3 linked regions of the Saccharomyces cerevisiae S288C genome follow. Changing the gene in region 1 together with any one later gene gives a genetic interaction. Each region holds a gene or a part of one and is shown in the gene's direction. Other genes may lie near its edges. The genes, in order: LRP1, RNH70 and APQ12.

The links.
Region 2: mutations in LRP1 (region 1) and RNH70 are lethal when combined (synthetic lethality), as found in Saccharomyces cerevisiae (7 studies listed by BioGRID, with this or other methods).
Region 3: mutations in LRP1 (region 1) and APQ12 together harm fitness less than expected from each alone (positive genetic interaction), as found in Saccharomyces cerevisiae (5 studies listed by BioGRID).

What each region holds. Positions count from the first base shown.
Region 1 is NC_001140.6:265,459-268,753, forward strand, and holds LRP1 (Lrp1p), read left to right. Parts: upstream 1-2,079; coding exon 2,080-2,634; downstream 2,635-3,295. Other genes in the region: LAM4 (Lam4p), read right to left, coding at 1-1,380; putative serine/threonine protein kinase KSP1, read right to left, coding at 3,001-3,295. UniProt on the Saccharomyces cerevisiae protein: Required for exosome-dependent processing of pre-rRNA and small nucleolar RNA (snRNA) precursors. Involved in processing of 35S pre-rRNA at the A0, A1 and A2 sites. Required for activity of RRP6 in 7S pre-rRNA processing.
Region 2 is NC_001139.9:1,043,555-1,047,154, reverse strand, and holds RNH70 (Rnh70p), read left to right. Parts: upstream 1-1,674; coding exon 1,675-3,336; downstream 3,337-3,600. Other genes in the region: U2-type spliceosomal complex subunit CWC22, read right to left, coding at 1-424; CAB4 (putative pantetheine-phosphate adenylyltransferase), read left to right, coding at 594-1,511; RTT102 (Rtt102p), read right to left, coding at 3,406-3,600. UniProt on the Saccharomyces cerevisiae protein: 3' exoribonuclease required for 5S rRNA maturation and for the proper maturation of the 5' cistron of the tRNA-Arg3 dicistronic gene. Involved with REX2 in the maturation of the 5.8S rRNA, and with REX2 and REX3, in the 3' processing of the U5L snRNA.
Region 3 is NC_001141.2:275,526-278,682, forward strand, and holds APQ12 (Apq12p), read left to right. Parts: upstream 1-2,197; coding exon 2,198-2,614; downstream 2,615-3,157. Other genes in the region: protein kinase PKP1, read right to left, coding at 1-767; GVP36 (Gvp36p), read left to right, coding at 1,000-1,980; TED1 (Ted1p), read left to right, coding at 2,901-3,157. UniProt on the Saccharomyces cerevisiae protein: Involved in the regulation of lipid homeostasis in the endoplasmic reticulum, thereby impacting nuclear pore complex biogenesis and localization, and nucleocytoplasmic mRNA transport.

The sequences.
Region 1 (3,295 bases):
TCCGGGGGAAAATGACCTCCTGTTAAGAAACTTCTTGGACATTTCCCTAGGTTCGCGGTCTTCATACTCCGGGTCGTTATTCGTTAGGCCATTAGAGGAGTTGAAGGACAATCTTTTTTTACAATCTTGTAAAACGTCGCTACTGGTGTTTTGTTTATCTGCCATTGCGCTAATCATTGATTTGGCTCTTCTTCTAGGCTTGACTCCATCTGTTGTAGAGGAACTGACTACTGACCATTTGGAAGGAACAGTTTTTCTTTCCAAATTACTTTGTTGTACCGGGCCTCTGCTGTCAAGGTGATCCGCCTCTGGCAGCGATTCTGCTGACATTGCCTCTAACCCTTCAAGAGTAGCTTGAGAATCATCGAAGTGCTCTAATTTTAAGTTTCCAACTCCGGGGGTAGGCTTATCATGAGAGTGCCTGATGGGTTCGAAAACCACTTTCCTGGCCATATCATCCGTCATCTTTCTAGTGTCATCTAATGATGTATCATCTCCTGAGATAGCATTAGAGCTTGAATGTGAGTTCGAGTGAATATGGCCTTTCAAATTTCCAAATGCCAATCTAGATAATGATGATGGTTTACTTTTACTTCCTGCTTCCGTTGTATTAAGCTGTTGGTTACTTGGAGTTGATGATTTGGATGCTGCAAGAATATTGTCTAAATTTTTCAAAAATGGGCCATCGCTTTCTTTTGTCGATGAAGTGTTTTTATTGTTAGTGCTATTTTCGGAAAGGGCTCCTGATATATTAGATGAGTTTTTTTTCCTGTCCTTTGGTTCATTCCTGGAAATTGTTCCATTGTCAGCGTCTTGTACGTTTATTTTGGGAATGTGGCTTACGGCATTATGGGCGAAGGAAAGAAACGTTTCAAAGGCGGTATGTTCATCATGGCCGTCTGGAGTTTTTTCCTCAGCTTGATTGCTGGACCCTTCTCGTTTCCCACTTTGCAGTTTTTCCTTTTCTAATGCCTGGACGGATAAACTTGGTACAGAATTTGAATTCGAGTTACCATCCTGAAAGCGACCCTTCAATGAACCTGCCGTCAAATTCGTGTTTGTCTTTTCAAGCCTGTTTGTTTCCATGGGATCTATAACGATTGGAATATTGAATACACCTTGGCTATGCGCTAAGGAAGATGCCGCCGCCTTTTGAGATCCTTTTGCAGGAGATTCCGTGAAAGTTTCGGGCTTAAGTAAAGACGGAATATCCGGATTTCCTCCTACTCTTCTGAATCGCTCAGCACTGGCTGTTGTGCTAACATTCTCTCCTGTAGTATTATTTAAAAAATTACGATCCTTCTTGTGCTTACGTTTGACTCCAATTGTCCTTAAAAAGGCAGTGCCCCAATGGTGCTTCTTTTTTGAATCTCTAGTCATTACTGTATATTTTCAACACTATCCATGGAGAGTAAGAACCACACACAGTAGCAATAATTTAATATCAATGGCAATAGCAACGAAATTACAGTAGATACCGTGAGCCAGCAGAAACAGATTGATATTTCGTATTTCAAGAAGGCAGAATCATTCAACCACCTACCGTCCCCCAGGAGGACAGATCCCAACGAGGGACCTTTGCGCCCAATTCTACTCCTGCAAGGGTTTCACTTAGAAATGCTTTTGCCAAGGTAAAGGACCCCTAAGACTAGAATGAACTACGCCGGTCCGTCCGGCCGTCATACTCCGTGGAAATTTACTTCTAAAAGGAGAAACAGCGATCTTTGCCGCATAAAGCCAGCCACTACTGGCGTGGAAAGATTTTTAGATTAGAAGACAATACAAAGCGGCAACGTCATAACCTTGGTATTTATTGGGCAAGCATTTTCATATCAGCGTACATACACCAGCAATGGGAATGTAAAGAAGAGTCGTTACTAGCATATTTTCTATTCATGCGGGTACCCAACATGTCACGTTTCACGAATTCTCGTGCAGTTTTTCAGCGATGAGCTAAGGCAGATGGTTATGGACTGTGCCTTCTGTAGTCTGTGGAAGAAAAAACTGGTTAACAGCCTACAGTAGAAATCGATTAATATAAACATATATCTAGCAACGTAACGGAGTATTAGATCAGTAATGGAAGATATCGAAAAGATAAAACCATACGTTAGGAGTTTTTCAAAGGCGTTAGACGAGCTGAAACCAGAAATAGAGAAACTAACGTCGAAGTCACTGGATGAACAGCTGTTGCTATTATCTGATGAGAGGGCTAAATTAGAACTAATTAATCGTTACGCGTATGTATTGAGTTCTCTGATGTTTGCTAATATGAAAGTCCTAGGCGTCAAAGATATGTCTCCTATACTCGGCGAACTGAAAAGAGTAAAATCATACATGGATAAGGCTAAACAATACGATAATAGGATAACCAAATCCAACGAAAAATCGCAGGCAGAGCAAGAAAAAGCTAAGAATATCATTTCCAATGTTTTGGACGGTAATAAAAACCAATTCGAGCCCTCTATAAGCAGGAGCAACTTTCAAGGGAAGCATACGAAATTTGAAAACGATGAACTGGCAGAGAGTACAACGACTAAGATTATTGACAGTACCGATCATATAAGGAAAGCAAGTAGTAAGAAAAGTAAAAGATTGGATAAAGTTGGAAAAAAGAAAGGAGGGAAGAAGTAGAGGTCGACGTATACTGGTACATGAGTGAAAAAATGATTAAAGGTGATGTGAGAGCACAAATGCAAAAATGCTTATAGGGTTTATATACTTTTATAATAACAATAAGAACTCGTTGAAGTAACTAATATGTGTATATGCTATTCTTGTAGTTGGCAGTGAACACTTTTGTGTGAATTGACGTTATATAAGACTGTAGAAATATCTAAGAAAAGAGAGTTTTCATAAAACCCTTCAAGCTTAACTACCAAAAAGCATTCATACTTAGAAGTTGAAATGCACGATGATGCCAAATTGATGAAAAAAGCTAAAAATGCATTTCAGAAGGGAAGAAAATAATAAGCAACATAACAGAGGGAATAGGTGCGCTTAGTCTTGTTGCTGTAAAATTAACCAATTATTCTTGTATTGTTCTAACGATCCGACCATTTCATCCTGAATACTTGTCTTCCTGCCAGCTCCTAATTTTTTATCGTGAGTGGAGCCAGCGAAAGTTTGAGCATAAATTTCATAAGGACCGAAAATTTGCCTTTCATCCGGGGAGGTTGACGAGGATTCGTTGTCACCACCTTCCATTTTGCCATGTGCCATCTTGTCACTTTCTCCTTCGTATTCTTCGTCTTCGAAAATTATGGCGTCATTGTTAGAGTCTGCGAATACGTCT
Region 2 (3,600 bases), on another chromosome or scaffold:
GTAGCAATAGAATCTGTAAGATCACGATTTCATGAATTACATCATAAAGAAATAAAATGGACAGACATTGAAGGATATTTCCGCAGGACACGTAATCTTTGCGATTGAATTGCTGCACGAACATTAACATTAGTTCTTTTGCTAAAGTTTCTCCAATATCTGGAATATCAGAATTTAGCAAGGCAATCAAAGCGGATAAAGCAGGGATTAGCCTGCCATTCTGTTTGTTCAGAGTAAAATCCACAACATTTTTACAAATTATGTTGCGGCCAATAAGTATATTGACTTGAAATAAGTCTCTGTGCGATTCCTGTAAGTTGTCCATTGTTAAATTGGATATTATGGGTGAAACGTGTGACCTTATCATTTCCCAGTTTTCTCTCTGAAATTTAATGTCTTCATCCTGTATGGTAGCGGTAGACATGCTGGTTTGTAGCCTTTTTATTCCTTTTTAGGTTTCTTACTCACAATGCCAAAATAAATATCAGTGTAATATAATTTTTCAAGAGTACGTAATGGAAAAAGATAAAAATAAGGACCGTCATAAAAAGAGACGTGATTAAACCTAAAAATCTAAAGTAAAGAAGTGTAAGATGGTTGAGGAAAATTCCAGAGTTTTGATTGTTCTTCCTTATACACCGCCTAGTGCTACTTTGCAGAGGATTATAGGGCAAACTATTCCGTTCTTAAGAGAATGTCAAAGTCAACTAGACATCGTGATTGTACCTGAATTCAAAACCTCATTCCAGTTGGATTCTGCGCTAGGGAAGATGTACAGTATTACCAGGGATGTCCTTTTGGGCTATGGAATGATCAACAGCGGAATCAACATCATATTCAACAATATTCATTTCGTCGAGAGTAATTTGCAATGGAAAGTGGTTTTATTGCCACAGGAATCCACTTTTGAAACTTGGAAGCTAGAGTTGGGACAAGGACAATACCATAGTATAGAACATTATGCATTACACGATAATATAATGGAAGAGATAGAAGGTCCCAAAGATGCTAACAAATTTCATGTCACCGCATTGGGCGGAACGTTCGACCACATTCACGATGGACATAAAATATTGTTGAGCGTCTCTACATTCATCACGTCACAAAGGTTAATTTGTGGAATTACGTGCGATGAGCTCTTGCAAAACAAGAAATACAAAGAGTTGATTGAACCTTATGATACACGATGCAGGCACGTACATCAATTCATCAAGTTGTTAAAACCGGATCTCTCCGTAGAACTAGTTCCCTTAAGGGACGTGTGCGGCCCCACAGGGAAAGTACCCGAGATAGAATGTTTAGTTGTGAGTAGAGAAACCGTCAGTGGGGCAGAGACTGTGAATAAGACTAGGATTGAAAAAGGCATGAGCCCATTGGCAGTACATGTGGTTAATGTACTTGGAGGAAGGGAGGAAGACGGCTGGAGCGAGAAGTTAAGCAGCACGGAAATCAGACGCCTACTTAAGTCCTCTGCTTCGCCAACGTGCACTCCACAAAACCCTTGCGTATAAACATATTTTTGTATATTTTATTGTTGTAGTTCACTATTATTTTATTGTTAGTATTTTATAAGTGGCGCGAGGACACAATAGAAATGGAGGGAAGATTTTTGCTCGATGGCAATACCAAGGATGACTGAGGAAGAAAACAATAATAGACTATACTCAGGCAAACATGCAAGTAGAAGGGCCTGACACTAACTTCGTGAGTGATTTGGCTTTGGGATCAAAGAAAAGAAGGTTATCCAAGACTTCTGTACAAGAGGATGATCATACAAATGTGGTATCGGAAGTGAATAAGAATAAGAAGAAAAAAAAGGCAAAGCCTATGACATGCACATTGCTAAAGTCTGTGGTTGAAAAAGGTATTGGTATAAAGGATGTAAGAGACATGACTCAATACTTGTTGCAGGCTGAAAACAACTCTCCCAAATGGATTGATATTTGTAACAGGTCAAGTTTACAGAAAATGATAGTTCTGTTCATTCCAGGTTTACAACCAGATGATTTTGAGAACGGAAAAAATACCTTTAATGAAATCAGTGATGATAACTTCAAATATATTCCTGGAGAAATTGCCTCCACGTTTCATACATTTCCCGTGATGGCACCTGGTTCCAAGATGACGCTCTTTTCGCCCTACAATTCATTTATTAATGTTGGATTGTCCAAAATGGAGAAAATAAATAAATTGAAAGAGTTACAAAAGAAGAAGAAAATTACTATTAACGATTTGGTTCTATCCGAACAACAGTTAGTGGCAAACGATTACCCACTGGATTCTGGAGACACCAATTTTGATACAGACTGGGTACAAACTGTTGACTTTACCCATGGTGGCTCCCACATCTTTGCACTAGACTGTGAAATGTGTCTTTCCGAACAAGGTTTAGTTCTAACTAGGATTTCTCTAGTGAATTTTGACAATGAAGTTATCTATGAAGAGTTGGTGAAACCTGATGTCCCCATAGTGGACTATTTGACACGTTACAGTGGTATAACTGAAGAGAAACTAACTGTTGGTGCCAAGAAAACATTGCGAGAAGTACAAAAAGATTTACTAAAGATAATAAGTCGTTCAGATATTTTGATAGGACATTCGCTACAGAATGATTTGAAAGTCATGAAATTGAAACATCCATTGGTCGTGGATACAGCTATTATATACCATCATAAAGCTGGCGATCCTTTCAAGCCAAGTTTAAAATACTTGAGCGAAACCTTTCTGAATAAAAGCATTCAAAACGGAGAACACGATTCTGTCGAAGATGCAAGGGCTTGTCTTGAATTGACGAAATTAAAAATCTTAAATGGGTTAGCATTTGGGATAGGTATCAATACGGAGAACTTGTTCACCAAATTACATCGTTTTGAAGTGAAAACCGTTCTTCTCAACGATATGATTATTAAAAATCATACTGAGGACGATTCTAAGGGCCAGTTAATCCGTTGCGTCGAAGATGATGAGACATGGACCCATATTCACGAGAATCTAAATAAAGATGTCAAACTTATTGTGGGGAGAATCAAGAACTTAGAGAGGTCACGCAACTATAATAAAAAGCCACGGAAGGAAACTCCTTCGTTCGATGCGTCCATGGTTCTTCATGATATAGGGCAACATCTAACACAATTATACGAGAATGCTACACCAGGTACTATGATTTTGATCATGTCGGGTACAGGCGACACAAGACCATGGAACAATCTTTCAACTGAGTTAGAGTTTATTCAAGACAAAAAGGAAAGATTAGATAAAAGACGCGAAAGGGAACCTGAAATAGTAGAAGCCATAAAGTTAGCCCGGGGTGGTGTAGCATCCTTTACTGTAAAATAATTCTATGTGTATAAATATATAAATATATATATATATATATATATATATATATGCATAATACTTTTCCTTTTAATTCATTTTCACATCTTTACTCTCCTTTGTATTATCATTGTTCACTCCCGCAGATAACCCAGGAATGGCTTCACTATTACCGACAGCGCCTCTTATATCATCCACACTAAGAGCTTCATCTCCTTGATTAGCAGAAGGAGCACCGGTGGCCTTACTTGTATCACCCTTAGTGTGCGATGTCATCAACGACTT
Region 3 (3,157 bases), on another chromosome or scaffold:
CACGTGAATGTGATGTCTTGTGATGGCGGGTGAATTAGGACCGGGGTCCGCTGAGTGTTGAACTTCACAAAGCATATATCATTGACATAATCAGAAACGTGCTTGATCAATTGTGCTATGGGGAGGTCCCGGTGCAAGATTCCAATCATCCTTTTGTTCGTGTCACCTTTGTTCTGTGCCATCAACGACAAATAGTGCGTCACAAGCAGCTTCATCGTGATTCTCTCCTTCAGGTGGAAGTTCAAGAACTGCGAAATTTGAAACTTTGGGTAACACGATTGGATTTCCTGAAGACCTTTTGCCAATACCACAATGGCGTCCTCGTGGTCGTCCAGCAGTTCTGTGAACTTGGCCTGTATCTTGGGAGGATTGTGCAACTCGTACGGGTATGCGATTGATAGCAACGTTTGCAAGCTTTTCAAATACAAAGAGTTGGTTCTCTCAATATGAGGGTTGATTACCGCATTATACGGTAGCCTCTGAATGGCATTAAGCCGTTTACACGTCAATGAAAGCAACAGGTTGATTGTCTTGATCGTCAGCATGTACTCCTCCTTCTTGGTCAGCGGCGGCCTGTATTGCAGGAAATACTCGTAGTTTAGGGGCGCAATTGGTTTACTAGCGTAGTCCTGTATCAGCAGCTCAATGTTCGACCTAATCTTGTAATGCTGGTCGAACGACAGTTGCGACAGCAGCTCGTGTGAGGGTCGCTGGCGATGTGCCCAGCGCATTCCCCCACATTTCCATGAACGCATAATCTTCCACATACTACCGTGAAGGCGTCTTGATACCACGTCTTCCAGTTATGGTCTTGACTCACCAATGTTCTCAGTTTAATGTTGTTTGCTTCATACTGGCAGACATTTTCCCTTATTACCGTGAGAAGCGAGCGGTGGATTAATCGGGATGTCAAAAACAAGAAAATTGCAACCTTCTTCACCTATAACCTATATGATTTGTAGGCAGAGGAGTGGAATAAGCAACAAATCATAGTCATCAATGTCGTTTAATGCCTTCGCCAGCTCTTTGAGCAAGAAATTACAGGAAATATCCACAAGTGTTTCCGAAAAAACCCAGGAATTGCCCAGTTTGGCGCAATCCACCCAAAGAATGGTCCAGGAACGTTTGGGCCAGGTGACGGACATCTCCCAATTGCCAAGAGAGTACACAGAGCTGGAAGATAAGGTTGACACCATCAAACTGATTTACAACCACTTCTTGGGTGTAACTGCTATCTACGAAAACGGATCGTACGATTACCCTAAATACATCAACGAATCCGTCAACGAGTTTTCAAGAAGCGTGGCTTCCAAGTTGACAGAGTTGACTCATGCTACATCTGCGTCTGAGGCACAAAACATCTTAGTTGCTCCAGGCCCCATCAAAGAACCCAAGACGTTGAACTACGCCCTCAGTAAAGTGGCTTTGAACTCCAGTGAATGTTTGAACAAGATGTTCCCCACCGAGGAACAACCCTTGGCTTCGGCACTCTTGCAATTCAGTGATGTGCAGGCTAAGATTGCTCAAGCTAGAATTCAACAAGATACCTTGATTCAAACCAAATTCAATAAAAATTTGAGGGAAAGGCTCTCTTTTGAGATCGGTAAGGCCGATAAGTGCCGCAAGGATGTCCATTCCATGAGATTAAGATATGACGTGGCAAGAACTAACTTGGCAAACAACAAGAAGCCAGAAAAGGAAGCTTCCTTGAGAGTCCAAATGGAGACTTTGGAAGACCAGTTTGCTCAAGTCACTGAAGACGCTACTGTGTGCTTGCAGGAGGTTATTTCTCACGCTAACTTCAGTGAAGATTTGAAGGAATTGGCCAAGGCTCAAGCTGAGTATTTTGAAACCTCGGCTGGCCTAATGAAAGAGTTCCTATCCAACTCATTTGCGGAAGAGCCGGAAGCAAAGCCTGAGGTTGCAGAAGAAGAAAAGCCACAGACAGCTATCTCTATGAATGACGAAGACGACGCTTAATAGCCGCCCTGTTCTTGTCTTTCTCTCTCCTTCTCTATATATATATATTTACTTAATACAATATCATATTCTCTAGTGTCGTACGAATATTATCATTTATTTGCTGGCTTTTGTAGTGAGTATATTTTTTGTAGAGAAAATATAATTACTGGAAGAGAAAAAGCTACTGAAAAAAATTTCGTAACAGTCACCAAAGGGCAAAGTGAGCAACCCAAAAATGGACGCTACTCAACCGCAATACGAACTATCCGTAGTAACACAATGCCTAAAGTCTGCCATTGACGTCATCCAATGGTTGATTCCTACTATTACTAAGTTCAGCCAATCACACCCGTTAGTTTTCCAACTATTGTTTATTTTCTTCACATTTTATGTCTTTTACAAGTTGTTGATGAACTTCATTACTCTGGTCAAAAGATTCCTGTATTTGACGTTGGTAGTAACATGTATCGGTATTTATATGCGTGGTTCGCAGCAGTTTTTGACTGTGGACCTGTTGAATTTCTACAATTTCGTCATGTCAAATAGATACTACGCATTTAAAATTTATACTCTGTTTATTAATGCCCTGGAAAGAGAAATCAACACTGTTTATCATTTGGCGCAGATGAAAATGGAACAGTTGCTTAAATAGAGCGAAACGCCTCTGCTTACTCGGAACATCTTAAAGTAATTACATATCTTAATTTCTAAATATTCATATAGATAAAGAACGTTTTTTTTGCTAGATTCCTCCCCTAGTCACTATCAAATATTGAGCTATTTTTGGTGACTTGTGTTTTCCAAATTATTCATTACAATTGTGACTTGATTTCTGAAGTTTTAAGAAAAATTGCAAACTAAGTTATTACAAGCGATTTATCCGGTCGCGATTGAAGAACTGAAAACAACAGCAGCAGCATTGTACCAAGAATCCCAAGATGCTCAGGTGTGCGGTCAAGAAGTTTGCATATTTTGCCACCTTCCTCACTATCGTCGCTAATATTTACATCTATACTTATCCATCTTTCCATCCAGAACAGTGTTCATGGAACTGCTCTAACAAGAACGCACCACTACAGAAAGATTTGACTTTTGTGGACAAAGTGAAGAATTACTTCAGTGATGTTCGAGAGCAATGGCATGGTAGCCATGCCTCTGCAGGTAACGATGAGGATATTCATATTTTGGCCTTCGG